Stegostoma tigrinum: one gene and its partners. The protein of the gene in region 1 interacts with the protein of each later gene in a pairwise test. Links are inferred from orthologs where the notes say so. Each region holds a gene or a part of one and is shown in the gene's direction. Other genes may lie near its edges.

Region 1 (7,853 bases):
TTTTTTCCTGAAGAAGGGTCCTGACCCAAAACATCAACTTTTCTGCCACTCTGATGCTGCCTGGCCTGTCCAACTCCACACTGTTATCTGATCAGACAAGAGAGCTGGCTAAGTGAGAGTGGCCTAAATGATAGTGAAATGTTAATGATCCAATTAATGTAATCAATAACAAGTTAGAATTTGGCTTGATGGATTTTATTTTTGCCTTTAATGAGGTGGTTGTTCACTGAAAATATGTGATGCTGCAGATTTGTTTTAAATAATAAAGCAGGAGTTTATTTTGCAAAACTAATGAAGATGAAATAGAAAAAACCAAACTATTTACATATAAAACACATTTTAAATACATTTTAGAGACTTTGTAACATGCCATCACTACATTACGTTCAGCAGTTCCCCTTTATCCCCAGCACAAGTTGCTCAATTGGTTAAGCATGATTTCCTTTCATAAACCATGTTATTCTGCCTGATTGCATTCATGTTCTCAAGTGCCCGGCTACAATTTCTTAATTAATAGGTTCTAGCATTTTCCTTCCACAGAGGTTATAAAATAATGGTGGAACAGGCTTGAGGGGCTAAGTGGCCTAATCCTGTTCCTATGATCGCACAAAGCTAATTGGTCAGTAGTTTCCTGCTTTCTTTCTTTTTCCCTCCCTTTTTGAATAAAGCAGTTAAACCCACTACTTCCAATCTATAGGATCCTTCCCCCAAATCAAGGGAGTTTTAAATAATTAGAACTAATGCTTGAACTCCTTAATCATTACTTTTCAGACCCTGGCATAAAGTCTATCAGGACACATGGATTTGTCAGTCCGCAACTCCAGCAATTTCCTCAGCATCTCTTCTGTGATGAATCTATCTTTTATTTTTGAGCTCCTCCTTCCTTTCTATTTCCTGACTTACAGCTATTCCTGGAATGATACTTGTGTCTTCTGTTGTGAAAACTGATACAAAATGCCAAATCTTCAATTTATCAATCATCTCCTTATCTTCCCCAGACTTTGTTTGACAGAACCCCACTCACTTTTATTTTACAAAAGAATAAAGCTAATGAAAGCTCCTATGATCAGTTCTTTTATTTCCAACTAGCTTTCTCTCTTACTCTTATTTTCCACTGTTATTGTATATTTGTCCTTCTCTGCCTTTTATGTTCTGAGTAATTTTTTAATTGCCACCCATCTTTATACAATTTTATGTGTTTTCTTTAAGTTTAACAGTATCTTTAACTTTTCTAGTTAAGATGGAGTGGCAGGTCCTTCCTCTAGATTTTTTTTCTCTCTCAGTGGAATGTAATCATTCAGTATTCCTTATTATATCCACTTAAAGGTCTGTCATTGGTAATCTATTGACAGACTTCTTAACCTAATTTGCCAGTCCATTTTACCTGTTTTCATATCCAGTGCCCTTAATGTAATACCTTTTTAATATGCTAAAAATTAAGTGCAGATATGACCATTGAGTAAAGTTGGCACTTATGTAAAACTGCTGATATTTCTACCAATCTATACATTGAAATTTCATTTATAATCAGTTGGTGCTAAATGCATGATCTATGTCTACATAAACCTGCTCTTTCACTTCTTCACTATGTGCAAAGTCAGTAATGGTGATAGCATTTTTTTTCTGTTTGTCTCACAACTGGCATCATTTCTGAGACAATCAAAATATACAATAATCAGAATTGAGAGGTTAGGCCAATGGCTATCTTCCAATAGTTACACCATATCATTCAGCTTCTGTGCAAAACTATCATTGCCACCTATGACTATCAGCACAATTCTTTGTTCTGTGCCTTGTCAAAATGAACCTTGATTAAAAACGAAAAGAACTGCGGATGCTGTAAATCAGGAACAAAAACAAAGTTGCTGGAAAAGCTCAGCAGGTCTGGCAGCATCTGTGAAGGAGAAAACAGAGTTAACATTTTGGATCCGGTGACCCTTCCTCAGAACTTTTCGGAACAGTTCTGAGGAAGGGTCACCAGACCTGAAACATTAACTCTATTTTCTCCTCCACAGACGCTGCCAGACCTGCTGAGCTTTTCCAGCAACTTTGTTTTTGAAAAGAAACCTTGATGTTTCCTGAAGATGCTGTCAACATTTTATTTACTGTTTTGTGAACAGTGCAAAAGGTAACCAATTCATTGTAACTACTTGACTTGATTAAGAGGTGAACTATACTTAGAGCATTTTTTTTCCACACTTTTCCCACTGCAGTATTCTTTTTATTCATTCACAGAATGTGGGATTGTTAGCCAGGCCAGACAATATCTTGAGTTAGTATGTTTTATTTTCTCCATAGTTCTGGTCTAGATTCTCCCCTACCTTTCATATAACTCCCCAGCCCTCCATTCATATACAAATAAAGTATTCAATCTAGAACATTCATCAAGATCTCTGGTCACTAGGTTTTTGGTTTAGCAATAGTACACTTTACTTTGAGGTAGACAGTCATGGATACAAGCTCATCTGTTAAAAGTTCACCTAATTTTCTAGAATTAGAAAATCTTCAGTGTCATTGAAAAATAGTGGGTGGAATTTGATTCCTGCCTCTATTCCTAGTATTCCAAATTTTGATGGATTGATGCAAGGATGATGCTGGCTAGCTCACAATGTGCACTTCCAAGCTGGCATGCTGTATTTGTGGAAGCATTCTCTTAGCCTCCCACAATTTTCAAGGAGTCTGGTCAGCTTCTGGATTGCTCATGGTTCGTGGCCCCTCAGAACAGCTGTGAACCATAATTAGAATGTTTTGAAAAATAATTTCAAAAAGTCTTTCATGTATTTTCCAAGCCCCTCCCATTCCTGTTCATGTTCCCTTCAAATCACTACCTGCACAGAACAGAACCACTGATCTGTACAGTAACAGTAATGTTGTTGGACCTGTTCAGAAAACTACTCATCCATTCACAAATCACCTTTTGAAAAATGAAATCATCCATACAACCCAATGAAAAAGGCTCAATCAAAATTATTAAAAATGTTCATGACAGGCTTCAGACACTTCACACATTTATTCTTGGGCAAAAAAAAATTGTGACATTGACATGAGATCCCAGAACTTGTTATAACCACTTAAAGATGTCAGTCGAGGAAAATTAAGAATTTTCTTCATTTGTCAAAACAGAAGCCCCTACCAAGATAATTCTTTTGGGTCTGAGTTTTGAGCCAAGGATCCGTAATAAGAACAGGTGTAAGAAATCTGTCAGCACAGCTGAATGCTCATGGCGTAGGTTGGTTGGATGAGAGGATAATGAGGAATGGATGGGCTTAAGACATGAGTGCATTACATCTTTTATAACACTACTGAGATAAAGAAATGAGGTAGGCTTTCTGAAAAAAAAACAGCCTGCCATCATGGCCAGCAAGCTTCTTAGGTCAGTAGGTACTGGTCTATCTCATCTTTCCAGATACCCCACCAGAGTATTGATCGTGAGATTTAAGCTCCTTTCTAATGAGACAAATCAGTTAATTCGGAAATCCCCCAATTCAGCTACCCATTTTAGCAGAGAAAATTTAGTCCTAAAATGTCAATTTATTTAAGTATGGCTAGGATTTTTTTGCTTCTTAGACAATCCTTTAACCAAGGCCCCATCTGCACCATCAAAGGAATTTTTAAAAAATCATATGGTACATCAAGGATGTGGAAAGTTTTATGGGGAGGAGCAGGTAGATAGAGTTGAAGCCTCAATAAGATCAATCATGGTCTCCTGAATAGCAGGAAAGAACTAATTGGCTAAATGGCCTACTGTGTTCCTGCTTTTTTTTGTACATACACAAGTGCTATCACATGCAACTTTCCCATCACCAAAATCACTGATTTTTTTTTCCCCTTTTTTAACCACCACCAGTAAATCATTTGGGTAGCCAATTAAATATTTAAATATAAAGCCTATGAAGGGCAATGCAAAACATCAAAAGTGAACAGGGGGTTACGGTGAGAGGGAAGAAGCCAAAAAAAGTCAATGGATTTGTGCATATGTTTGTCATGATCACTATTAGAATCAGTGCGTGTAAGGTGACCTAGCTCATATTTGTCCTTCAACCAATATCTCCAATTATCTGGTTATCTACTTTTCTGCTGTTTGTGGGGTCTAGCCTGTGCAAATTGTCTGATGCTAATAACTGCGTGTCAGATATGTTTTGCGCAAAATACTACTGGTGCAATAAATCTGAAACAAACATAGAAAATGCCAGAGGCATCGTCTGAATTCTGAAGACTTATGCTGGACTCGAAACATTAACTTTTGCTTCTAGCTGCACACATGCTGCCAGGCTTGCTGAGTTTCTCCAGCATTTTCGGTGATCATTCAAAACGTATTTTTGGCTGTAGGGTACAAGATCCTGCAAGAGACCGTAATAAAGCGTTTTCTTTTTCTTAAGCATTCCCAACTTAAGGTCAGAACGGCATGGAACAATCAAATGTATTGGGTTTTTTTTCTATGGATTACTAGAACATTTCTGACACTGCTCTGAACCTCCCGATTTTAAACCAGGACTTGAAGCACCCAGGTCATTCATGGCTTACAGATTTTATTTTGAAAAAGAGTACGAGACAAGGGATCAGTTGTATTTTTCGTGACTGCAGCGGGGAGTTTACCACAATGCCCGCCAACCTCGCACAAAACTATCTTTCAAGATAAATGCAAAAAATATTTTCCGATACAAAATTATCAAGCCAGGTTGTCGAAACCCGCGGTGTTTTCACAACATTTAACCCCTTATTCACAACATGCGGAAACAAATTTTTCTGTCCGATTTTCCGTGCGTGCGTGTGGGATGGGAGTTCGTTCGTGAGTAGGGAGCCGGGTCTTGGTTAGAGTCTTCCCCCCGACATGGGAAACCGAGCCGGAGAAAGATATGAGACAAGTGCAGAGCTGGAAGAACACAGCAGGCCAAGCAGCATCAGAAGAGCAGGATGGCTGAAGTTTCTGGCCTAGACCCTTCTTCAGAAAATTTATCTCTGAGAAAGATAATATTCCTCCAGATGTAGACGGGCTGCCGGGGCGGAGAACCGTACCACGATGCAGACGGGTGCGCGCAAGGGTTGATCGGTCCTTCCTCTTCGCCTTTGGAGGTTTTTTTCCGGTGGGTTACCTCCCGGAATTGTGCCTGATTGAATGCGGTTACTTTGTTGTCGGTCGCAGTACAGTACGTGATTGGGCATTGAGCTGGAGAGAGGCAGAATGTAGCGGCTTCTCCCCAGGTAACGGGTGGTTTCTCCCAGATGTCTGCCCGAAACAGAAAGTCAGACTCGGCGACATTGTTGCCACATCACTGCCGGGTTGGATAATTACAAAGCAGCAGTTTCCCGTCCCCCCTGACATCGCATCCGGGAAAGCCACCTAACGGGACGTGATTTAATTAATTTTACGCAGAATCTCTCTCTTTCAGTCTGCTCCCGTTAATCGGCCTCTGGTGCCTTTGTTTGATATTCAATGCGCAGTGCCTTCAGCCTCCGATATGAAACTACTCGCTCTCCACCACCACTGACTGAGAGCAGCGAAGATGACGACGGGCTGGTGACTGGTGATTTTTTTTTTTCTTTCTCTCTCTGGCCGAATTAATATCATACCTTGGGTAGTCAGCGTGCCCAGCGAGATGCAGATGTTTCTCAAACGACTCGAGAATAAAACGGGCTGGTATTCATTCGGCGACACGATGCAATGAACTCTTACTGGCATTGCTCGTGAACAGATACCCTTGGCCGAAATTTCTCGGAGAAAGATACTGTTTCTCTGAAACGTAGGAACCGCCGCCCACTTCTTCATTCACCTGTAATTGCGTTAAATTTAACCAGGATTGCCTTTAAACTGGAGACAAAGAAAATGAGGGAACACTCAATTATATAGGATACCGATTTTGAATTAATAATTTATTGCAGGGTATTTATGCTTATGGAACATCATTTGTAAAAGCGTTAATATAATACCGAGATTGGAAGTGACGCCGCCGACCTACGCCCTGAAATGCCTCCAGATAACGCCTGTCATTTTTTTTAAAAACCCTGAATAACTTACAGCCCAACATTAATGTGGGATGCAACGGCAGTGCACAGGAGCCTGTGTACATTTGGTGGCTTGCTTACAAGCACGGATTTTGATTGGCTTCCTGCTGGCCCGGTTGTTTGAAGCTTTGCTGCTGAAACTTTACCTATTTATCGATACAAACCAGCTAGCTTTTTAATTATTCTCCAGAACCCAAGGTCAAAGCCCACGTGAACTAAGTTTGTGACATTTCTCTTCATATTTAAACACATTGGCTGGTTGTTTTTTGTGTGTGTTTATTTTAGCTACTTCAGTGTTCAGTCAACTACATGCTGGAGAATGAAGGAGGTTTGTAGGATCTGTGCCCGGGAACTGTGTGGTAACCAACGACGATGGATCTTTCACACAGCTTCCAGACTAAACCTACAGGTTATCCTATCTCACGTACTGGAAAAAGAGGTATCTCGAGATGGCAAGGCAGAGTTTGCTTGCAGCAAATGTGCATTTATGTTAGACCGTATCTACAAATTTGATACAGTTATTGCAAGGATTGAGGCACTGTCCATTGAGCGTTTGCAGAAGTTACTCGTAGAGAAAGATCGTATCAAGTACTGCATAGCTAGTCTATATCGTAAAAATAATGAGGAGCCAAGTACTGACACCAAGGGGGAGGATGTTGCAGTGGGGAGCTCCAACCTACCTGATGTTCGGTATCATGCACTGCTACAGGATGACTTTGTATATTCTGGATTTGAATCATGGACAGAGCAAGGTGAGGAAGCCATGGAAACTCACAGTTGCCAGACTTCAGACACCTCAAGCTACAAATCCCGGAAGTGTCGCAGCTGTTCAGCCTTGCGTGTGACTGATGCAGATTATGAGGCAGTTTGCAGACTACCTCGCAAGTTGGCGAAGACTGTTTCTTCTGATCATTCCATTAAGTGTGGAAGTAGTGTGGTGGGCAGCACAACTGCTGAGGAAGGACTTGCAATGCCAGTCATATGTGAAACGGTGCCTGTTGGGCAGTGTGAGTCTAGGACTTCTGTCTATGCTGACTCACTGGATAAAATATCTCCAGCCTCTTCTGTTGAATCACTTGGTCCTACGGTGGAGTCTTGCTCTGGGCAGACCAATGAAGCAGCACAAGTAGAAAAATGTGCCAAAGATGACAGAAGTCCCAAATCAGACTTTTCAGATGGTCAAGGAACCCATCCTTTGTTGTATAGACAAAAACTAGACTTTGTCCTTGGCTTGGTGAAGAATGTTGAATATAGGCCTGTACCGATCCCAAAAGGCAGCAAACTGCCAGTTCCAGTCAGGCCTTCTCCATTGGGCTCTCAATCAAGTGGTACTTTGGATGGGACTTCCAGGTCTCATTTACAGAACAATGCTTGTGAAATTGTTAACAAAGGCATAGATCCTCTCAGGATGCACCTTAACTTTGATGATGTGGCAGATCTTGAGGAACTCTTTCAGGACGTCCTTGATGAATATATTCCAATTTGCACCCAGGTATTTGAATTGTGACTACTATCTAATTTGTTATCTTCCCAATATTCTTCTGACCCAGATTAACACTTAGAAGCAACAGAGCCATCGGACAAATCTCGGTGTAATATTTTAAAATAGTTGCTGAGCTTTTTTTATTTAATGACCCAACCCCCCAGCCCAGCATAAATAAACACAAAATGCTAGAAAAGTTATCAGCAGGTGTGGCAGCATCTGTGGTGAGAGAAACAGAGTTAACATTTCAAGTCCAGTCAGAGTGAGGAGTCATTGGATCTGAAACGTTAAATCTCTCTCTCACTCTCTCTCGCTCTCTCTCTCTCCCCCCCCCCTCTCTCTCTCCAGATGCTGCCAGATCTGCTGA
Region 2 (7,594 bases), on another chromosome or scaffold:
ACACTGTCTAACACTTTGGATCACCTGCAGGGACTTATTATTCAACTTGCCACTTATACTTTTGTATGATCTGTTGATCTCTCTGCCCATAAATTATGTGTTCTGCACACTTCTCTGTCACTTCACTTGGTGAAGGGCAGCCCTCCCAAAGCTTGTGATTTCAAATAAACCTGTTGGACTATAACCTGGTGTCATGTGACTTCTGACTTTGTCCTCCCCAGTCCAATACCTGCACGTCCATGTCATATAAAGTTCAGGTAGGTGTGATAGTCCTGAATAAGCACCTGGTGGACCACATGAAAATTACAAACTTGCAAACAGTGGAGTGGGAAAATGTGCTCAGCTCCTCAACAGCTTTTCTGACTGTTCCAGGATCTGTGGGTTCTCCCTCTCCATCAAGCATTGAATAATACCTTGGAATCTGAGTGGGACATGGTGGATGAGGGGCTGTTAATTTTGTCCAATCAGGAAGTGTGGGCTGACAGGCATAAACAGGAGTGTCAGACATAATAGGAAGTGCAGACGCTGGAGAATCTGAGATCACAAGGTGTGGAGCTGGACGTCCTTGCCACTGATCTAGCTCCCACTGAGCCAGATCTCAGAGTGAGCAGGATGTCTGACACTCTGAGATCACAAGGTGTGGAGCCAGATGAACACAGCAGGCCAAGCAGCACCTTAGGAGCTGGAACGCTGACGTTTCGGGCCTAGACCCTTCATCAGAAATGGGGGAGGGGAAGAGGGTTCTGAAATAAATAGGGAGAGAGGGGGAGGCAGATTAAAGGTGGATAGAGGAGAAGATAGGTGGAGAGGAGAGTATAGGTGGGGAGGTGATAGGTCAGTCCGGGGAGGATGGACAGGTCAAGGAGGCGGGATGAGGTTAGTAGGTGGGAAATGGAGGTGGGAGGAGGGGATTGGTGAGAGAAAGAACAGGTTAGGGAGGCGGGGACGAGTTTGGCTGGTTTTGGGATGCAGTGGGGGGAGGGGATGAGCTGGGCTGATTTTGGAATGCAGTGAGGGGAGGGGAGATTTTGAAGCTTGTGAAGTCCATACTGATACCATTGGGCTGCAGGGTTCCCAAGCGAAATATGAGAACTGATCCTGTAACCTTCGGGTGGCATCATTGTGGCACTGCAGGAGGCCCAGGATGGACATGTCATCTAAAGAATGGGAGGGGGAGCTGAAATGGTTCGCGACCGGGAGGTGCAGCTGTTTATTGTGAACCGAGCGTAGGTGTTCTGCAAAGCGGCCCCCAAGCCTCTGCTTCATTTCCCCGATGTAGAGGAGGCCACCATGGGAAGAGCGGATGCAGTATACCACATTGCCAGATGTGCAAGTGAACCTCTACTTGATGTGGAAAGTCTTCTTGGGGCCTGGGATGGGGGTGAGGGAGGAGGTGTGGGGGCAGGTGTAGCACTTGCTGCAGTTGCAGGGGAAGGTGCCGGGTGTGGTGGGGCTGCAGGGGAGTGTGGAGTGGACAAGGGAGTCACAGAGAGAGTGGTCCCTCCAGAAAGCAGACAAGTGTGGGAAGGGAAAATTGTCTTTGTTGTTGGGTTCGGTTTGCAGATGGCAGAAGTGTCGGAGGATGATGCGTTGGATCCGGAGGTTGATGGGGTGGTATGTGAGGAAGAGGAGGATTCTCTTTTGTTTGTTATTGCGGGGACGGGGTGTGAGGGATGAGTTATGGGAAATGCGGGAGACATGGCTGAGGGCGTTCTTGACCACAATAGGGCGGAAGTTGCAGTCCTTGAAAAACGAGGACATCTGAAATGTGCGGGAGTGGAATGCCTCATCCTGGAAGCAGAGGCGGTGGAAGCGAAGGAACTGTGGAGAGGGGATGGCATTTTTGCAGGAAGGTGGGTGCGAGGAAGTGTATAGGTAATTGTGGGAGTCAGTGGGCTTGAAATGGATGTCGGTTTCTAGGTGCTTGCCTGAGATGGAAACAGAGAGGTCCAGGAAGGTGAGGGAGGTGTAAGAGATAGTCCAGGTGAACTTGAGGTTGGGATGGAAGGTGTTGGTGAAGTGGATGAACTGTTCAAACGCCTTGTGGGAACACGAGGTGGCACCGATACAGTCATCAATGCAACAGAGGAGGAGGTGGGCTTTAGGGCCAGCGTAGGTGCGGAAGAGGGACTGTTCCACGTAACCTAAAAATAGGCAGGCGTAGCTTGGGCCCATGTGGGTACCCATGGCCACCCCCTTTGTCTGTAGGAAATGGGATGAATTGAAAGAGAAGTTGTTGAGGGTGAGGGTGAGGACGAGTTCGACTAAGCAGATGAGGGTGTCATTGGAGGGAGACTGGTCGGGCCTGCGGGACAATAAGAAGCAGAGGGCCTTTAGGTCATCTGTATGAGGACTGCTGGTGTTTAGGGTCCGGACGTCCACAGTAAAAATGAGGTGTTGGGGACTGGGGAATTGGAAGTTCTGGAGGAAGTGTAAGGCGTGGGTGGTGTCACGGACGTAGTTGGGGAGTACCTGGACCAAAGGGGAGAAAATGGAGTCCAGATAGGTGGAGATGATTTTGGTGGGGCAGGAGCAGGCTGAGACAATGGTTCGACCAGCGGAGGCAGGTTTGTGAATTTTGGGAAGGAGATAGAAGCGGGTGGTGCGGGGTTGGGTAACAATGAGATTGTTCACTCTCACTCCCATCCCCAGATCCCAAGAAGACTTTCCACATCAAGTAGAGGTTCACTTGCACATGTGCTAGTGTGGTATACTGCATCCGCTGTTCCCGTTGTGGCCTCCTCTACATTGGGGAAATGAAGCAGAGGCTTGGGGACCGCTTTGCAGAACACCTCCGCTCGGTTCGCAACAAACAGCTGCACCTCCCGGTTGCAAACCATTTCAACTCGCAATCCCATTCTTCAGATGACATGTCCATCCTGGGGCGCCTGCAGTGCCACAATGATGCCACCTGAAGGTTGCAGGGACAGCAGCTCATATTCCGCTTGGGAATCCTGCAGCCCAATGGTATCAATGTAGATTTCACAAGCTTCAAAATCTCCCCTGCCCTCACCGCATCCCAAAACCAGCCAAACTCATCCCCGCCTCCCTAACCTGTTCTTCCTCTCACCCATCCCCTCCTCCCACCGCAAGCCGCACGCTCATTTCCTACTTACTAACCTCATCCCGCCCCCTTGATCTGTCCGTCCTCCTGGACTGACCTGTCTCCTCCCTACCTACTCACTTCTACTGGCTCCACTCCTGCCTCTTTAACTTGCCTGTCTCCTCTCCACCTGTCTTCTCTATCCATCTTTGATCTGCCTCTCCCTCTCTTCCTATTTATTTCAGAACACCCTTCCCCTCCCCCATTTCTGATGAAGGGTCTAGGCCCGAAACGTCAGCATTCCAGCTTCTAAGGTGCTGCTTAGCCTGCTATGTTCATCCGGCTCCACACCTTGTGATCTCGGAGTGCCAGACATCCTGCTCACTCTGAGATCTGGCTCTTTGGGACCCAGATCGGTGGCATGGGCATGTAAATAAAGGATGGCTTGGTGATGGGATACTGGCTTTGTGGACTTAATGCATTCATGACAATCGTTTGAAAGATTTGTTGAGGCAATGTTCCATTGTTGAACTGTCACATCCACAGTCCCTCAGATATTGACACAGAAAATATTGAAGAAAGAATTTCCTCAGCAAATGTTAATGCAATTATTTGAATCCCTCACAGGCTTAGTTTGAAGATTTGTTTTTTTCATAAGAGGACAATCAGCATCTTATTTTACACAGATTTTGTTTTTCATTGCATGGTATTAAAAATTGATTCAATGTGACTCGCGACTATTTCTTTCTGCTCTATTTAGCATTTACACTTCCCCCAGATGGCAAAAGTCATCAGATTTTCTGAGGCTTCTCTGCATGACTTTGCACTCAATACGCTAAGAAAAGTATAACATTATTATTGAAATATTGCTGAAACACAATTGTTGGAGGGTTTTTCTCTTTACTGCTGTCAACACAACATCACTTAATCTGGCATCAGAAACAAATGAAACAAGCAATTAATTCAGAATCTCAAATTTTCATTTTCATTTGTCTGTTTACTGTCGTCAAGAAATTACATTGGATTAAATTCTTAAAAGCATTTACAGAAATAGAGAGGAGGGAGAGGTGGTAGTTTTTTTTACACATATATACTATATTAATAGCAAACGTACCAGTCACTACAAAAAAAGGGTAACGTGTTCAACATATATTGCTGTGCATTTCTCCATCTGAAAGATTTAAAATACTGCAGGGCTAGTCTTCGGCACATGGCAACAGAAGAATAATTTCCACAGGCGAGACAGATCCAAGATGATGAAGCATTCCTTTCGATTGAAGTTGATGTGTTTTATATAAATGTTGCAGCCGAGGGCGAAGAGGAGGGAAGGTGGGGGCCGAATGTCCCCACGGGTGGTGGGAGGTGGGTTGGAACCGAGAGATGAAAGCCCTTCACAACCACAAATCAGGAGGCACGTCTGCTTTCCTCGAATGAGGACGCAGTGGGGAAGAAGCTGGGCTGCTCAGTTGGAGTCAGAACCAATCTGTTCAAACACCAGGCGCTGGAGCTTTCGGTGGTTTCAGCTCTGGGCTGCGTTTAGCTCAACCATCCTAAACCAAACCTTGATGCTGCAGTGATGTACTGAACAGCTGGGGGAATTATTTTTTTTTCTCTCTCCGATAAACAAATCAAACGGTAAACTTGAACGTCGTGTCGGTGTTTGTGGTTCTCAGATTTTAGGTGGTTTAAGTCACTGTAGAGGCTTACTTATTGTGTGATCTCTGTGTCTCTCTCTCTTTCGCCTAGTGACCAAAGAGTAACCATGGACGTTTTCATGAAAGGGCTGTCCAAGGCGAAGGATGGGGTAGTAGCTGCTGCCGAGAAAACGAAGCAGGGAGTGGCAGAGGCGGCGGGAAAAACGAAGGATGGGGTGCTGTATGTGGGTAGGTAGAAAATTAATGCTTCACATGGCTGTCTTTTCAGACAAGAAATGGCACGGGGTAAAAACACACACAACTCCATTCACCCAATCTTACACCTTTGGGGGGATGGGGGTGGGATGTGTAAGAAACACGGAGGAATAATAGAAAGCTTTCCTTTTATTCTCTGGTAAGAACGGTGTGTGGGGTGATTTGTCAGACGGGGAGGAAGGATAGCTGCCACTTCCAAATCCGAAATATGGAAGTTGCAGAGAAGCAGAGCATCAAGTGTTTTGGCACCGGGAGGGAGGGAGATTTCTTTGTATATGTTTTTTAAAAAAAATCCAGAACTAATCCAGTGCAGATTTGTAAAACGTAAACCGTCGGGTGCTGAAAAGGAATTATTTTCCAACAAATTTAGAACGAATGTAACATTGGATGTGTGTGTGTTAAATTCGATGAGCGGGAAGGTTGCGGTCAAGGTCATTTCGTTGCTGAATTCTGAAGACCTTTTCTGCTGTGTGCACTGAGTTGGGGACATTGACACGTGTCAATGGTAAGGCCAATGTAATTTATTTCCTGCAGCTTGAAATTTAAGGACTTAAACCCGAATTTGATCTATTTTCCTTTAAATTTGAGGTTTTTAATGTTTTCCACGGGCACCCCCCCCCCCCCCCATGTCTGTCTTGCACTAATTTCGGAACTGTCATCATTATTATTATCTATGTTGTTGAAGCAATTTGTTTGACATAACACACCTCAGGCGCAGGTGGGATTTGAACCTGCTGGCAGGCTGTCATTTCTCCAGCGGTCCAGCTAGAGGGAGGAGAGAAGATGCGAGGGTGAGGATGGGGAAGGTACAAGGTCCCGGGGAAGTGGAACAATGGCGTGCTTAACCCCTGCCTAACAAGCAGCTCCCTGTTATTTCCAGATCCCGTGGCTCTTCCCCGGCTGACCAACCCGTTGTCAGTTTTTCCTGCTTTCGTTGATGCTAGCCTTTAACACCTCTCCACGCCTTGGCTGCTTAATTTTGACCTGAGCCTGGGGAAAGAGGATTTGCTGCTGTGATTTGTGACAATTTATTAATAGGGGTTTTTATTTATTTTTACTTCTTCTTTAATGTATTTATCTCTAGGCTCCAGGACCAAGGAAGGTGTATTTCATGGCGTATCTTCAGGTATCAATAATCAATAGAATTCTGTAATGTTATGTGTGTGCTAGTCTCTTTGTCTATATGTGTGGGTCTGTTTCTAAGTACAGAATTAGGAGCACAGAAAGAGGGCATTCTGCCTTCCATCATCTTCTGCTTTCCAGTTAGATCATGCCTGACCTTTAAATTAGTTTACTTCTGTAATCCTGAATATTCCTGCTGTTAAAAATCTTATCTTGGTTTTGAAATTTTCAATTAAGTCACAGCCTCAAATGTTTTTGGAGGAGGAAGTTCCAGATTTGCAATCCACTTTGTATGAGGAATTACTTCTTGACATCACCCCAAATTGGCCTGGTTCAAATTTTAATCTGTATTCTGCTTCTCCACCACCCCCCCCCCCCCACTCCCCGCCGCATCCCTGAGAAACTAGTCAGTCTCTCTGTCTCTTTCCTATCTACTCCTTTGATCGTCTCAAATCATAATTAGAACAGCTTTCATCTCAAGGAAATACAAAGCAAGTATTTGCAAACTTTCCTCAAAAGTTAACTGTTAATCCCAATATGTACAATGGGTCAGACTGACCTGTAGAATAGGTTTGAGCTTTTCTTTGATGCAACATATGAGAGAAGAAACAGCCACGTTGACTGTTACAGTGAGTATAGCGGGAGTATCTTGTACTACTGGCTTTCTGAGTAGTGAGTGTAGTTTCACCACCAGGCTTCGTGTTTAATGCCATTTCCTGTCTGTCTGTACTGTTGGCAGAACCTCCAGTATTACGTTGGTTTGCTACTGTGACCCACATGAAGCTTAAAAGTTGCCAGGCCGTATGGACTGTTTCTGTGTGAAAAATTTCTATTTAATACAAGCCATCATTGAGACTGAAAATGTTAGACGACCTAGATCAAGGTATGGTAATGTTGAGGCTTTAAACAGCAAGAGTGCAGTGTTCAGACATCAATATAGCTTGGCTCTACGGAGCTTGTGTGGATCCAGATATTCACTCATACTTAAAATCACACCTTATCTTGTGTTTAACTACTTATGTTTTCTGTATTCAAAGGCTGAGTTAATTCCTTTACGCATGTATAAACAAACGAGGGCAAGTTGGTGAAAGGCAACATCAAGAAATAGCTCTTCAGACCAAGAGAAATTAACTTGTTTGATTTGGTTTTTCAGATGGTGGCCAGAATCAAAAGTTGCAGACTTATTAGAAAGCTAATTGGATGCTGAGACTGTAGACGATTGGGAAATGATGAGTTCCGTGAGGTTGCCTCACCTGTGCAAACCTGTGGTCCTTTGTAACAGAATTATTTGGAGTACTGTTCTGTAAAGGTGGAGCATCTGATATTTCCACATGTAGCAACTTTCTATGTGACTGCTACCACTTGCTAGAGCTGTTGAAAATGGAAAAATGACCATGTGTATAAGTGCTGATAGATGCCAAACATGCATCTACCTTTGAGTAACATTTTAATTCGTCTCTGATCACTTTCCTAAAGATTTTTAATTTGACTCTTGCTCCTCTTGTTCCCTCATGGTGCA
Region 3 (8,113 bases), on another chromosome or scaffold:
GGACTCAAAATGCTCTGCTTCCTCTCCACAGATACAGCCAGTCCTTCCTCCAGCAATTTGTTCCCCCCCTTTCCTTCCACTTGAGGTCTGGAAACATTTGCATCAACTGCAAATCCTGTGAAAGAACCTTACCAACTCTAACAATGTTTCCAGGCACTGGAGGGTCATGCTGACAGCAGAGGTGGGAATCACAATCACAAGTTGAACTTCCTGGAGTGGATCATAGCAGGTCTGCTCTCCGTCTTCCTTGCAAACCCTTTCTTTCCCTTCCCCCCCACCCACGTCATGCCGGTATAAACATCCTTCCCCAACGGGGAGGGGTAGAACCTCAATGACGGTGACAGTCGGTGTTTGTGCCCGAAGGATGGACATGGACACGGACACACACAAAGGTGTCCATCGGGGTGGGGGCGGCGATGAGTGGGGCGATGTCCTCCCCTCCTCTCTCTCCTTCTGCAAGGATCAGGGGCATGTGTCACTCTGGGGGCCGAGCCGCAGTGAGTGAATCCTTCCGGAGTGACCCCTCTCAGCCGCTCCTGTACCACCACCGCCAGCCCAAGGCCGTTCAGACTGACCCACAACTCCGTATCGCACACTCCGGCTCACGACGAGCCGGCGGAGCCACAACTCACCCCGAACTCTCACTCTCAGTCAGTCAGGCGGTCAGATCCCGCTCCCGCTCCAGCTCCAGCTCCAGCGCTCCGCGCCCTGACAACAGTTAAATTTCAAACCCCCGCGGACAGCCAATCAAAGCCCAGGCCACACCCGCCGAACACATCGCATCCAATCATAGGCTATTCCACGCCCATGAAACGAACGTCAGCCAATCAGAGCTCGGGCTACGTACACACTCTACAGCCACAGTAGGAACTGCGAATGCTGGAGAATCTGAGAAAATCAGGTGTAGAGCTGGGTGAACACAGCGGAGCAAGCGGCATCAGGGAAGCAGGAAAGTTAGACGTTTCGGGTCGAGACCCTTCTTCAACAAAAAAAACCTTCACTCGGTTCGCAATAAACAACTGCACCTCCCAGTCGTGAACCATTTTAACTCCCCCTCCCATTCTTTAGACATGTCCATCCTGGGCCTCCTGCAGTGCCACAATGACGCCACCCGAAGGTTGCAGGAACAGCAACTCATATTCCGCTTGGGAACCCTGCAGCCTAATGGTATCAATGTGGACTTCACAAGCTTCAAAATCTCCCCTCCCCCAACCACATTCCAAAAGCATCCCAGCTCGTACTCGCTTCCGTAACGTGTTCTCCCATCTATCCACTCCACCCACCTCAAACCCCGCCCCCATCTCCTACCCACCAGCCTCATTCCCACCTCCTTGACCTGTCCGTCCTCCCTGGACCGACCTATCCCCTCCCTAACTCCCCACCTACATACACTTTTACTGGCTCCAACCCTAGCTTGACTTATCTGTCTCATCTCCACCGATCTCCTCCTTCATCCATCTTCTATCCACCTCCCCCTTTCTCCCTGCTTATTTCAGAATCCCCTTCCCCTCCCCCATTTCTGAAGAAGGGTCTAGACCTAAAAAGACAGCTTTTCTGCTCCTCTGGTGCTGCTTGACCTGCTGTGTTCATCCAGTTCGACACTTTGTTGTCTCAGATTCTGCAGCATCTGCAGTTCCTACTATCTCCAGAGTCAATCAGTCGGCTGATCTACGGCTTCTTTCCAATGAATAAGCCTTCTGACTACAACAATCAATGCTGTTCCTCCAGCAGTGCATATAGCATCCCATGCATATACTATGGGAATTGGCTTTGTCTGAAATCACACTTTCTGTCTTTTGTCAATTGCTTTGCCTTGATCTCAATCCCTTCTGGAGTGAGAATAGATCCATCCTCACCGTAGCAAGCACAAAATCATGAAGAAACTCAGCAGATCTGGCAATATTAGTGGAGGGAGAAACAGGATTAGCATTTTAAGTCCAGAATGATCATTCTAACTGCAGAACTGAAAGGTGTTGGGAAATGTTGCTTTATACTTTTGACCTTTAATAAGTGCAGATGATGGCCTAATGGTATTATTGCTGGGCTGTTAATTTGATAGAAGGAAAGTAGATGGACAGAATTGAGAAAAGAGGAGGGGGAAGGAGATAAAATGGGAAAAGGGATTCAAAGAATCACATACGTTGCCTTTTTAACAAATCAAATTCTTCTAAATAGTAACTGTTACCCATAATACACACTGAATCATCTTCAAACGAGCATGTCCGATCAAAGCATTTTGACAAATTGGCCAAAAGAAGTGTAGAAAGTGTAATTAACTGCGCGGAAAATCTCACTGTCCCAGTGAGCAACATTTGATTGGGGAATGATAGGTAACCTTAGGGACCTGCTTATCAGTGAAAGATCTAAATGAGTTTGCTTATATAGCAAACAGAAAATGGTCTGAACACCAGTTTTAAGAGAAGATCATAGCCCTGTGTTTACTTGTTGGAGAGTTTGTCATAGACTAGTGCCGAGCTGAAGTCGCCTCTGAAAAGGAAGGATTGAATGGCACAGGCTGGATGGAGTTTAGCAACTGTGTCATCAGTTGTCTTGGTCCCAAGCACAGATATTCCAACATTTAACCTCTTGGAAGGCGTCTCTAAAATGTACTGCTTTGATCAGTTTTGTTAGACATCTGTACTAATGCGTTATGTGTCTCAGTGTCAACTTTTCATAAAATATTATACTATAAAAGGGTCATTTAATCTAAACTTCCCATTTTATTCCTACTCGCAAGTTCAACCCTCCACTGCATAAAATTTTTACTTTACAAATATGCATTCAATTGCCTTTAGAAAGCTCCTGTGGAATTTAGTTCACCGAGTCTTTCACATTGTGCATTCTAGATCCAAACTGTAAAAGTGAAAACAACTGTCTACTTTTTAGCCAATTTTAAACATGGAGCTCTGATTACCAAACTATCTTGATTTGATTTGATTTATTATTGGTCAACGTAGCGAGATAGTGAAAGTATTGCATTACGTACGAACCAGACAAGTCATATTGTACACAACTACATCAGGGTAATAGAACAGAATGCAGAACATAGTGTTACAGCTGTAGAGAACGCACAGAGAAAGATCAACTCTGATATATGACAGGTTTCTTCTCAAGTTTGACAACAGCAGGGAAGAAGCTGTTCTTAAATATGAGTATGTGTTTTCAAACTTTCGTATCTTCTTCCCAATGGAAGAGGGTGGAAGAGAATATAACCAAGATGGCAGGGGTATTTGATTATACTGGCTGCTTTCCTGAGGAAATGAGAAGTGTACACGGAGATAATGGAAGGAGGGCTGATTTTCATGATGGGCTGTGTTCACAAATGTCTTTAATTTCTTGTGGTCTTGGCCAAAGCAGTTGTCATACCAAGCTGTGATGCATCCAAATACGATGCTTTCTATGGTGCATCTATAAAAATTGATAAGAATCATTGTGGATATGCCAAATTTTCTTAGCCTTCTGAGGAAGATGAGGCATTGGTGTTCTTCCTGAATGGTAGCATGACATGAATGGACCAGGGCAGGTTATTGTTGTATTTATTCCTAGGAACATGAAGATCTTGACTGCTGCCACCTCAGCATCATTGATACAGACAGGGGCATGGCCTCCATTCCGCTTCCTGAAATTGATATAATTGGTCACTCTCTTCTTCACTGTAACTTGGTCAAAACTCTTGAACTCTTTCCATAATTCCACTGTCGGTGTAACTACACCACATGGACTGCAATGGTTTATTAAGGTACTTCACCATCATTTTTGCAATTATGGGTGGTTAACAAAGGGTGGTTGAGGTAATGATGGTGTTCAAAGCCATTTAGTGTTTTGATGAAATGTAAACAAGGACAATCCACAGGAGACAACACTGTGTAAAGCTGGATGCACACAGCAGGCCAGGCAGCATCAGAGGACCGGACAAGCTGACGATTCCGGTCTGGACCCTTCTTCAGAAATGATTCACATGACACTGGTTTAAGGCATTGTTACAAAATAACTGTACAATACATGAGATAATAAAATCTGAGGCTGGATGAACATAGTAGGCCCAGCAGCATCCCAGGAGCACAAAAGCTGACGTTTTGGGCCTAGACCCTTCATCAGAGGCATTTCAGAGGCTCGAGGGGGGCACGGTACGCCAGAGTGACTCCGCGAGGAGCTCGACCAGTTAAGCGATTCAACACGCCCAAGCGGGTGAGAAAGATAAAGTAATACATGAGTGCCAGTTCTGATTTGAAAAGATAGCTGTGATGTGTCCAGATAGGATGCTTTCTATGGTGCATCTATACAAATTGGTAAGACTCATTGTGGCCATGCCAAATTTTCTTAGCCTTCTGAGGAAGTAGAGACATTGGGTGTCAGGGATAATGGGAACTGCAGATGCTGGAGAATCCAAGATAACAAAGTGTGGAGCTGGACGAACACAACAGGGCAAAGCTTTTGTGCTCCTGAGACGCTACTTAGCCTGCTGTACTCATCCAACTCCACACTTCGTTACCTCAGAGACATTGGGTGTGCTTTTTTAACGGTAGCATGACGTCGGTGGGCCGGGGCAGATTGCTTCACCGTGTCCAACCAATCATAGCACAACTGCGCCAGGTATCAACCAATCACAGCAAGGCCTGTCCAGGACACAGCCAATCGCAGCACAGCTATCCCAGATATCAGCCATTCACAGCACGAACTGTCCAGGATATGCCCAATCGCAGCGTGGCTGGCCCAAAACCTATCCAATCGCCCATCATGGTGGGATGTCACTTCACAGAGCAACCGTCCAAAATTCAACTTGCAGCAACTAAATCATTTTTAAACTCCAAGGAGGAACAGAGCACGAAAATAACCAAGTGTGTCTGTGTCTTCTCAGTAATATTCATATTCTTGCGAGATGGATACCAAAAAATTTTTACTGCGCGCGGAGCATCATGGGGGTTGTAGTCCTGGTGGTTGGGTGAGATGTGCGCAGGCGCGGATAAAGGCGTGTGGTAGGGACGTTTGGTATTAAAGTGCTGTGGAGTTTCTCTCGCTGCCGTTGACATGTGAGTACGTTGGTCGGGCCGGGGTATTATTTTATTTTTCTCACCCGTTTGGGCGTGTTGAATCGCTTAACTGGTCGAGCTCCTCGCGGCGTCACTCTCGCCCACCGCGCCTCTGAAAACTTGAACCGAAAGCAGAAATTGTTGGAGGAAGAGACAGTAGGAACTGCAGATGCTGGAGAATCCGAGATAACAAGGTGCGGAGCTGGATGAACACAGCAGGCCAAGCAGCATCTCAGGAGCACAAAAGCTGACGTTTCGGGCCTAGGCCTGAAACGTCAACTTTCTCGCTCCTAAATCCTGCTTGGCCTGCTGTGTTGTTGGAGGAATCTCCGCAGGCCAGTCAGCATATATGTGGAGAACGAAACTGGGGTTAACGCTGTGGGTCGGCTGACCCTTCTCCAGCACATTCTTCGAAAAGTGTCAGCAGCAACGTTCTGTGAGGAGGCTTTTTCATGGGGCTTTGTTGCCGACATGTTGTAGTTCATTTCCATTGCTTCCATGAGGCCGCCTCAAGGCGGTCAGTTCACAGGAGCACAGTGATTCCATCGCCCATGTGAGATATTAATCGGAGGTCCCACATGCCTGCTCAGATGCCCCTAACAAATCCCATAGGCGCCATTTCCAGAGAGTGTGGTCTCTGGTGAACTGGCCAGTATCTGTTCTCAATTGTGGACCATCATGCTGTTAACTACTTATGTAAATGTCACTGGGATAGAGGTGTTATTTTTGGTCAGTACCACGCAAGATTGTAATCAGAAATTCTCACTTGAGTTACGGAAGGGACAAGTTTACGTGGAAGACTTAAAACTCAAAAAGATGTCTTTGGTTTGATTGGATAGAATCAACTTCTGTTTGTTTTCTTGATATGCTACTGCACAGATCAGTACTGTGTGTATTATATTTATTTATAATACACAAGATATTTTTAATGAATAAAGTGTATTTTTGAAATTAATAAGAAACTTAAAATTCAGAATTGGGTTTTAAGTTGAAGGGGTCAGTTGAAGGAGGAATTCCACATCTGCAGGCAACATCTTTTTTTAGGAAGGGATTGAGGAATTTAAACACTTTATGCTTCAACCTACTGAGATTTGGAAGCAAATGCAGATCAGCAAACACAATAACTGCAATAGTGTGTGGGTACAACAACATTTTGTTGGAAATTAGGATACAGATAACAGGGTTTTGGATGAGCTCAAGACTAAAAAGGATGAGAGGCATGAAATATTCTGGTCTGGAAAACATGGTTGACATTTTCAAAACAAGCAGGGGCTGAAATAGGTAGTCTTCATGATTTAAACAAAAATGATGTAACAGGAAAAGAAAAGATGGATAAACTATTTTCACTGGTTGGGAATCCTCAAACTAGGGGACACAGTTTGAGAATTAGGGCCAGACAATTCAGGAGAGATGTTAGGAAGCACGTCTGCACACAAGCTGGTAGATGTTTGGAACACTGTTCCACAAACAGCAGTGGATGCTGGTTCAGTTGTTGGTTTTATGAACCCTTTAAAAAAATTAACTCTCCCTTAACAAAGCTATGTTGATTCTATGAGATTAACTTGAATTTTTTCAAAGTGCTTTTGTCTTTGACAGTAGCTTTTAACATCTGGTTATGGCTGAGTTCCTGCTTTAAGTCTGATTTGAAAAGAATTGTGCCATTTTCACTTTCTTCCGGTGTAACAAAACTCCTTTGATCCATGTGCAGGATGTGGCATTGCCCAGATGACATTTACTGCCCAGAGAGCACAGAAGAGTCAACCACATTTCTGACAGTCTGAAGTCACATTTATGTCAGACCAGAGAGAGAGATTATCTTCCATAAAGTACATGAATGAACCAGATTTATTTTAACAGTGGTGATTACATGGCCACCACTAGCTAGCTTTTTATTGAGGTTTCACCATCTGCCATGAGGGATTCAAACCCATGTTTGATTCCATGTCCCCCATTAATAGTCTAGTGACATGACTACTCCACCTTGCCTCTATTTTCTCCAAATTGAGGAAATTTTGGAAAATTAAAAGCACCCATCTCACAAGTCACTTCACTTAAGGTTATAGGATGAAGTCCGTGTGGACCCGGGGATCTGCCAGCCTACAGCTCCAAGAATTTACTCAGTACCAATCTCCTGGTTATTGTGGTAACCATGGTAATTAAGGGAAAAAATAAATATAGCATCAGTTTTATAGGGAGATAATTGTACAGGTCAGAAGATTGTCATTCTGTACTGGTTTTATATTCTGTTCAAAGGTTGACAAGGAGGGAAAAAATTAGAGCCCAAGATCAAGATAAAGCTAATATGAAATTTAATTGTAAGAATGACCAGATATTTTCAGAGTGTTTTTGTTTAAATACCTGCAGTTTTAAAGAACATTGTTTGCTAAGTCATATATTTAAAAAAAAATCTCTTAATAGTCTAATCACTTCCACAAATCAAACACTTGCTTTACCTTTTTTATTTCTTTGGATATTTGTACTTCACTGGATATTTTTCTTGTCAATTGGATTCATTTGCTTGTGATTTTCTTTTTAGGTTATTGTAGCAGAAAGTCATGGCTCAGAGACAAGCCTTGCTGGCTGTTCATCAAGTTTTGGAGAAATGTTTCCATGTTATTGAGCAGCAACAAAATTTGTGGGCAAGTACACTGACGGAATGTATCCCAATCCTGAGTTCGCTGAGTAACTTGGCAGAGCAACTGCAAGCGTGCAACAAAGTTGTGTTTATGAATACCCCCTTTCGAGTGTTCCCTGATTTGCAGTGCCGTCTGAAATACAAACTCACTCGGGCTATCGAAATCAATTTGGAAAGCCTTGGTGAGAAAATGTAGGTTCCAGCATCGCTCATCTATTGATAATTAAGCCTGAAGTACTGTCTCCTGACACTTATTTGTACAACCATCGAGTCGTTTATTGTTAAAGTCAGGCTACACTTGGCACTAAATGTGCAATTGTTTTTCTAGAAATGCCGATGGCATCTACAGGAATGTTGGCTCAGTGATCCAGATTTCTGCAGAAAATGGATAGAATTATCCTAGACTCTCATTTGTTAATTCTTGTGCTTATTATAATACTGTGGTTTT
Region 4 (7,400 bases), on another chromosome or scaffold:
GCTTACATATCTTAAAATACACAGTACATTTGCAATTATATTCCCATTGCTTTAAAAATGCATTGTATGTAAAATGGGAATGTTTAGTTGAACAAGCTTCTCTATAGTACTAATAGAACAAAAAACCTCATCTGGGCCCAGAAGAGCTTAGGGTGAATTGGAATGAGGAAAGATGATAATTTGGAAGAAGATTTACAACTTCCCTGTCATCAACTTTATCAACCTCTTACCATTAAAAGGGGATATATAGTTCAGAGAACTGTGGATGGATTAGTGATTTGAAAATGGTTGTTTTATACATAAAGATTGAGACTGTATTCATTACAGTTTAGAAGAAAGCAAGGTTTGTCTTATTGAAATAAGATTCTGAGGGGACTTCTCAGAGGTGCAGGGAAGAGGTTTCCTTTCAGGGAATCTGTCTAGAACTGGGGACAATTTCAAAAGGAGGGGCCTCTCAAGACGAATGAGAAGGAATTTCTTCTCTTGATGGGTCATAAGTCTTTGTAATTGTCTTCCACAGGGAGCAGGGGAGGCAGGCTCATTGAATATATTCAAATCCAAGTTAGATAACTCTTTGATGCATCAAAAAAATTTACAGATTATGGGAACAGATAGGAAATTGGGGTTAACACCATAAATTGGTCATAAGCCATAAATGGTGTTGTAGGGTCAAAGGGACCAAGTGGTTTACTCCTACTCATAATTTATGGCCTTACAACATTAAACTATTTTCATATGAGAGATAATTTTGCCTAAGTATACCTTGAAGGACGTAGTAAGTCAATCAAAACTCTAATTCCACAGACAAATTAAAAGTTGCATAACAACTACTTTTTACCTATCCTTACAAGCCACCCATATAAACTATCTTATTTCACACAAACTTCTAAGGACATAAATAAACACACACAAAAACAACAAACAAAAATTGACAAAAGACTTTTTCCTCCTCCTCATAGATGCAACTGCTGTGTCATCTGGGTCTTGTCACAGACAGCTGTGGGGCAGAGTTCTTGTGAATATTTAAGGCTAAGATAGATTCTTGATCAAAAAAAAAAAAAAAAAAAAAAATCGGGGAATCAAGGGTTATGGGGAAAGAGCAGGAAAGCGGACGTGAGGAATACTGGATCTGCTATAAATATATTGAAAGACGGATCATGTTTGATGGGCCAAACAGCCTGCTCCTGTTCCTATTTCGTAACGATCTAAGCCTGATCACATGCTCAAAACTAACTCCAGCAGCTCAAGCACATAAACCTCCCCCCCACCCCCAAAAAATGCTGAAACTCTGAAGCAAAACAGTCAGTAAAGTGATTCTCATAAATGAGTCTAATGCTAAAGCATTCGTCCCCTGCTGAACTAAGCGTGTGTATGTTGCATGCACTCTACATAAAACAGCAGTAAGTATTTAATTAACTTGGGATCCCCTTAGAATGGGTACTGACAGTGCAACATGTAGATAATTTCCCATTATTTCCATGGCCTTTTTATATTGGTTCCAAAATATCCATGGTAACTTCCAAAAGCCACTAAAAACGACGACAGGTACACCACTGTTTTAAACACATGGAAACAATTAGCAGATTTACAGAAGCAGCAAAGGAAACATGCCCGGATCCAAATTGTTTTTATGCTCCGGGCATCACGATCTCTTTTGGATCTCAAACTACTAGGGTTTCGCTGAAAAGACTGGCACCCTTCAAAACAAAAACGGGGATAACACGATGTGAGATAATAAAATGTGAGGCTGGATGAACACAGCAGGCCCAGCAGCATCTCAGGAGCACAAAAGCTGACGTTTCGGGCCTAGACCCTTCATCAGAGAGGGGGATGGGGTGAGGGTTCTGGAATAAATAGGGAGAGATGGGGAGGCAGACCGAAGATGGAGAGGAAACAAGATAGGTGGAGAGGAGAGTATAGGTGGGGAGGTAAGGAGGGGATAGTCAGTCCAGGGAAGACGGACAGGTCAAGGAGGTGGGATGAGGTTAGTAGGTAGGAAATGGAGGTGCGGCTTGGGGTGGGAGGAAGGGATGGGTGAGAGGAAGAACAGGTTAGGGAGGCAGAGACAGGCTGGGCTGGTTTTGGGATGCACTGGGTGGAGGGGAAGAGCTGGGCTGGTTGTGTGGTGCAGTGGGGGGAGGAGACGAACTGGGCTGGTTTTGGGATGCGGTGGGGGAAAGGGGAGATTTTGAAGCTGGTGAAGTCCACATTGATGCCATTGGGCTGCAGGGTTCCCAAGCGGAATATGAGTTGCTGTTCCTGCAACCTTTGGGTGGCATCATTGTGGCACTGCAGGAGGCCCATGATGTACGTCATCTAAAGAATGGGAGGGGGAGTGGAAATGGTTTGCGACTGGGAGGTGCAGTTGCTTATTGCGAACCATTGCTTATTGCAGGAACAGCAACTCATATTCTGCTTGGGAACCCTGCAGCCCAATGGCATCAATGTGGACTTCACCAGCTTCAAAATCTCCGCTTCCCCCGCTGCATCCCAAAACCAGCCCAGTTCGTCCCCTCCCCCCACTGCACCACATAACCAGCCCAGCTTTTCCCCTCCACCCACTGCATCCCAAAACCAGTCCAACCTGTCTCTGCCTCCCTAACCTGTTCTTCCTCTCACCCATCCCTTCCTCCCACCCCAAGCTGCACCTCCATCTCCTCCCTACTAACCTCATCCCACCTCCTTGACCTGTCCGTCTTCCCTGGACTGACCTATCCCCTCCCTACCTCCCCACTTATACTCTCCTCTCCACCTATCTTCTTTTCTCTCCATCTTCGGTCCGCCTCCCCCTCTCTCCCTATTTATTCCAGAACCCTCACCCCATCCCCCTCTCTGATGAAGGGTCTAGGCCCGAAACGTCAGCTTTTGTGCTCCTGAGATGCTGCTGGGCCTGCTGTGTTCATCCAGCCTCACATTTTATTATCTTGGATTCTCCAGCATCTGCAGTTCCCATTATCACTAACACGATGTGAGGCTGGATGAACACAGCAGGCCAAGCAGCATCAGGGGAGCAGGAAAGCTTGACGTTTCGGGTCGGGACCCTTCTTCTTTCAAGCTTTCCAGCTCCTTTGATGCTGCTTGGCCTGCTGTGTTCATCCAGCCTCACAGCGTGTTATTTCAGATTCTCCAGCATCGGCAGTTCCTACTACCTCCAAAACGAAAACAGGGTTCAGTTTCACAAAATGCACTTACCAAACTTTACCGGAGTGACCAAATCGATGCGAGTATCGCCGCTGATTTTTTCAGAAGTCACCACCATCTGTTTCAGAGCCTTGTCGTACTTCACCAGAACATCGTCCATATTCTCCCCTTGGTTTGGGGAAATGAGTTCGACGAAAGCGCGGTCAGCCGACGGGTAGCCGTGCGGGTCCAGCGGCTTCACCGACACATCGCAGGGCAGGCGCACCTTTAAAGAGCCGAAAGGATCTACCAGCAGAGTCCAGCGTTTCAAGGCGCTACCCTTGTGCCGGGAGTCCAGGCAGCGGGTGCCCGACACCGACCTCCAAGGCCGCAGACGGGCAAAAGACGGGCCGCATTCCCTCGGCAAAAGCGCTGACCAGCCTCGGCGGAAAAACAGAGGGAAGGAAGTCATGCCGGAGCCGAAACCAGGGACAGAATACCGGATCCTCCACGGCTCAGGAGAAAACCACAACGCCAACTTTCTGTTGTTATGGGTAGAGGAGAAAGTGCTGTCGGGAGTTGAAGTCCGCGCACGCATCTTTAACCGGACGATTGCGAACTACAATTCCCACAATGCAGTACAAACGGTTGCAGCTGTCCAAGCATTGCAGCGAGCAACGAAGAGCAACTAAGATAATAAAATGTGAGGCTGGATGAACGCAGCAGGTCCAGCAGCATCTCAGGAGCACAAAAGCTGACGTTTCGGGCCTAGACCCTTCATCAGAGAGGGGGAGTGGGAGAGGGAACTGGAATAAATAGGGAGAGAGGGGGAGGCGGACTGAAGATGGAGAGAGAAGAAGATGGGTGGAGAGGAGAGTATAGGTGGGGAGGTAGGGAGGGGATTCGTCAGTCCAGGGAAGACGGACAGGTCAAGGAGGTGGGATGAGGTTAGTAGGTAGGAGATGGGGGTGCGGCTTGGGTTGGGAGGAAGAACAGGTTAGGGAGGCAGAGACGGGTTGGACTGGTTTTGGGATGCAGTGGGTGGAGGGGAAGAGCTGGGCTGATTGTGTGGTGCAGTGGGGGGAGAGGGCGAACTGGGCTGGTTTAGGGATGCGGTGGGGGAAGGGGAGATTTTGAAGCTGGTGAAGTCCACATTGATACCATTGGGCTGCAGGGTTCCCAAGCGGAATATGAGTTGCTGTTCCTGCAACCTTCGGGTGGCATCATTGTGGCACTGCAGGAGGTCCATGATGGACATGTCGTCTAAAGAATGGGAGGGGGAGTGGAAATGGTTTGCGACTGGGAGGTGCAGTTGTTTGTTGCGAACCGAGCGGAGGTGTTCTGCAAAGCGGTCCCCAAGCCTCCGCTTGGTTTCCCCAATGTAGAGGAAGCCACACCGGGTACAGTGGATGCAGTATACCACATTGGCAGATGTGCAACTGTCTGTCATGCGCACAATAAAACAAAGAACTCAGGACGCCATAGATCTGAAAGAAGAAGTCGCTGGCAAAATTCTCAAGCTGGTAGCAACCGTGTGGAGAAAGCAGAGTTAACTCTCTGGTGAACAGATGCTGTCAGACCTGCTGAATTTCGCTAACAATTTCTGTTTTTGTCGCAGGAATGCACCTGTTCAGATACGTGAATAACACGGCTCTGGAGCAGGTGGGACTTGAACCCGGATCTTCTAATTCAAAAGGAGAAGCTTTACCACTGTACCCCAATTGTTGATGTCATTCAAAGAAATTTTTACAAAATAAGCGATTTTTCGCGAAATGTCTTCTGATGTAGATCTGCCGAAGGGTTCATGCCAAAGGCAGTCCTGCTGTTCATCCAGCTCCACACTTTGTTATCTCTAATTCCCGAAATGTCGCCTTCTCCTTTCCAAGTTATGTTGCCTAGCTTGCTGTGTTTTGACAGCCTCCTATTTGTCTACCTTGGTTCACAACTGGGTTCAGCGGATTTCTTTTGTATAACTTGAAGGACAGTTGGTGAGAGATTTAAGGCTGCACAAATATAAATAAAGGAAATGCGTTCGTAGTATCTAAGTCGTATTAACAATTAGTCTGCATTGCATGAGGGAAATGAGTTTATTGTTGGACTTTGAGATAGTAGGAAATGCAGATGCTGGAGAATCTGAGGTTAACAAGGCATAGAGCTGATGAACACAGCAGGTCAGCCAGCATCAGAGGAGCAGGAAGGCTGACGTTTCGGGTTTGGACCTTTCCTGCTCCTCTGATGCTGCCTGACCTGCCGTGTTCATCCATCTCGACGCCTTGTTATCTCTTATTGTTGGGCCTTTCCGGGTTTCCGGGATTTATTTTAGTAGCTTTGCTATTGGTCCAGATGAATCCCATGTTGCCCAATGGCTGGGTGCGAACTAACTGTGTGTATGGTTGCTATGGAGATGACGCTTGTTGACCACAAACTGGAAGAGGATCCCGGAGAGTGTCAGCAGCTCCTCAGGTACATCTCAAAGGCGAGGGCTTCAAATCTAGACGGCGCAGAACAGAAAAACAAAAATACCAGAAAGGCACCGATTACAGCTTTAATCCACAAACTCTAGTGTTGATGTTCTGACCCACACCATCACCAAGTGTGCACCCGCCCCATGTGGACTGACCACTCCTATCCCACTCACGGCCTTGTCTACACTGACCATCCCCTGGCCTATGTGCACTGACCACCCCACGTCCTGTGTAAACTGACAACCTCCGCGCTCTGTGCAATGTCCGCACCGCCGACCTGTGTGCACTGACCACTTCCCCTGCCCTGTGTTCACTGACCACCTCTGCCCTTGCCATGTCTGCATCAACCCCCAATATGTATTCTGACCACACCTACCCCCCCTCAAAGCCCAGTCTATATTGACACCCCTCCCCTGCCATGTGTGTACTGATCTCCTCCTGCCCTGTCTGCAATGACCTCTCCCCTGCCATGTATGCACTGACGTCTTCCCTGCCCTGTGTGCATTGATCACCTTCCCTTGCCCTGTGTATAATTACCACAGTACCCTGGCACATTGAACCACCATCCTATCCCGACCCTTTGCTCACTCACCTCCTTTATGGAATCAAGAGGTGAATTACCCAATGCAGATTTCTAAGCTCAGAAGCAGAAGTTGCAGGAAAAGCTGAGTTGGTCTGGCAGTGTCTGTTAAGAAAAATCAGTTAACTTTTGGGTCTGGTGGCCCTTCTTCAGAACAGACCCAAAATGTTAACTCTGACTCTTAGAACATAGAACAATACAGCGCAGAACAGTCCCTTTGGCCCTTGATGTTGCGCCGACCTGTGAACTAATCTAAGCCCCTCCCACTACACTATCCCATCATCATCCATATGCTTATCCAAGGACTGTTTAAATGCCCCCTTTTACTTCATAGATGCTACCAGAACCACTGGGCTTTTCCATTAACTTCTGTGTTGTTTTTTCCTGATTTACAGCATCCACAGTTCTTTCAGTTTTTGTTTGCAGTGTTCTAAGCCTTGGACTTGCTGTTGTAGCCACAGTACTAACATAGCTAGCCTAGTTCAATTTCTGGTCAATAGTGATCTCCAAGATGTTGTTTGTGGTTTTCAGTGATGCTAAGGGTGGCACAGTGGCTCAGCGGTTAGCACTGCAGCCTCATAGCACCAGGGACCCAGGTTCGATTCCAGCCTCGGGTGATTGTATGTGTGGAGTTTGCACATTCTCCCCATGTCTGCGTGGGTTTCCTCTGGGTGCTCCAGTTTCCTCCCACAGTCCAAAGATGTGTAGGCTAGGTGGATTGGCCATGCAAAATGGCCCGTAGTGTTCAGGGGTGTGTGGGTTATAGGGGGATGGGTCTGGGTGGGATGCTTCAAGGGGCGGTGTGAACTTGTTTGACTGAAGGGCCTGTTTCCTCACCGGAGGGAATCCAATGCTATTAAATGTCAAGGGCGGATGGTTGAATTCTCTTACTGGAGATGTAATACTGGGCAAAAATATAACTTGCCTCTTATCAGCCCAAAACTGGATGTTGCTCAGGTTTTGCTGCTTTTGAATGTACATGGACATATTCAATAGTTGAAGAGTTGCGAATGTTGTTGAACATTATGCAATTGTCAATAAACATCTCCAGCTGAAGATGACTGAGGCAAGAACACTACCTTAGGCAACTCCAGCAGTGATGTCATGTGGTTGAGATGGTTTGACCTCCAAGAACCACAGCTATCTTCCTTCGTGCTTGAATATGACTTCAACCAATGTAGATTCAACCCCTTAGTTCCCATTGACTCTAGTTTGCCAGGGCTTATTGATGCATA

Evidence for each region.
Region 2: the proteins of pde4dip (region 1) and alpha-synuclein-like interact in a two-hybrid assay, tested with the Homo sapiens proteins (2 studies listed by BioGRID and IntAct). The link is inferred for Stegostoma tigrinum from reciprocal best matches to the Homo sapiens genes PDE4DIP and SNCA.
Region 3: the proteins of pde4dip (region 1) and airim interact in binary tests that used the Homo sapiens proteins (3 or more experiments, as listed by UniProt). The two-hybrid records come from large-scale screens. The link is inferred for Stegostoma tigrinum from reciprocal best matches to the Homo sapiens genes PDE4DIP and AIRIM.
Region 4: the proteins of pde4dip (region 1) and ccdc146 interact in binary tests that used the Homo sapiens proteins (3 or more experiments, as listed by UniProt). The two-hybrid records come from large-scale screens. The link is inferred for Stegostoma tigrinum from reciprocal best matches to the Homo sapiens genes PDE4DIP and CCDC146.

The regions. Positions count from the first base shown.
Region 1 is NC_081361.1:47,556,783-47,564,635, forward strand, and holds the start of pde4dip (myomegalin), read left to right. Parts: upstream 1-4,755; 5' UTR 4,756-6,322; coding exon 6,323-7,495; intron 7,496-7,853. UniProt on the Homo sapiens protein: Functions as an anchor sequestering components of the cAMP-dependent pathway to Golgi and/or centrosomes.
Region 2 is NC_081354.1:9,864,300-9,871,893, forward strand, and holds the start of alpha-synuclein-like, read left to right. Parts: upstream 1-4,458; 5' UTR 4,459-4,678; intron 4,679-4,789; 5' UTR 4,790-4,805; coding exon 4,806-4,926; intron 4,927-6,037; coding exon 6,038-6,079; intron 6,080-7,594. UniProt on the Homo sapiens protein: Neuronal protein that plays several roles in synaptic activity such as regulation of synaptic vesicle trafficking and subsequent neurotransmitter release.
Region 3 is NC_081377.1:9,424,404-9,432,516, forward strand, and holds the start of airim (AFG2-interacting ribosome maturation factor), read left to right. Parts: upstream 1-4,928; 5' UTR 4,929-5,030; intron 5,031-5,036; exon of another isoform or gene 5,037-5,224; intron 5,225-7,566; 5' UTR 7,567-7,585; coding exon 7,586-7,857; intron 7,858-8,113. UniProt on the Homo sapiens protein: Part of the 55LCC heterohexameric ATPase complex which is chromatin-associated and promotes replisome proteostasis to maintain replication fork progression and genome stability.
Region 4 is NC_081378.1:24,325,247-24,332,646, forward strand, and holds the start of ccdc146 (coiled-coil domain-containing protein 146), read left to right. Parts: upstream 1-4,331; 5' UTR 4,332-4,782; intron 4,783-5,518; exon of another isoform or gene 5,519-5,583; intron 5,584-7,400. Other genes in the region: protein FAM185A, read right to left, coding at 3,193-3,718. UniProt on the Homo sapiens protein: Essential for sperm flagellum biogenesis and male fertility.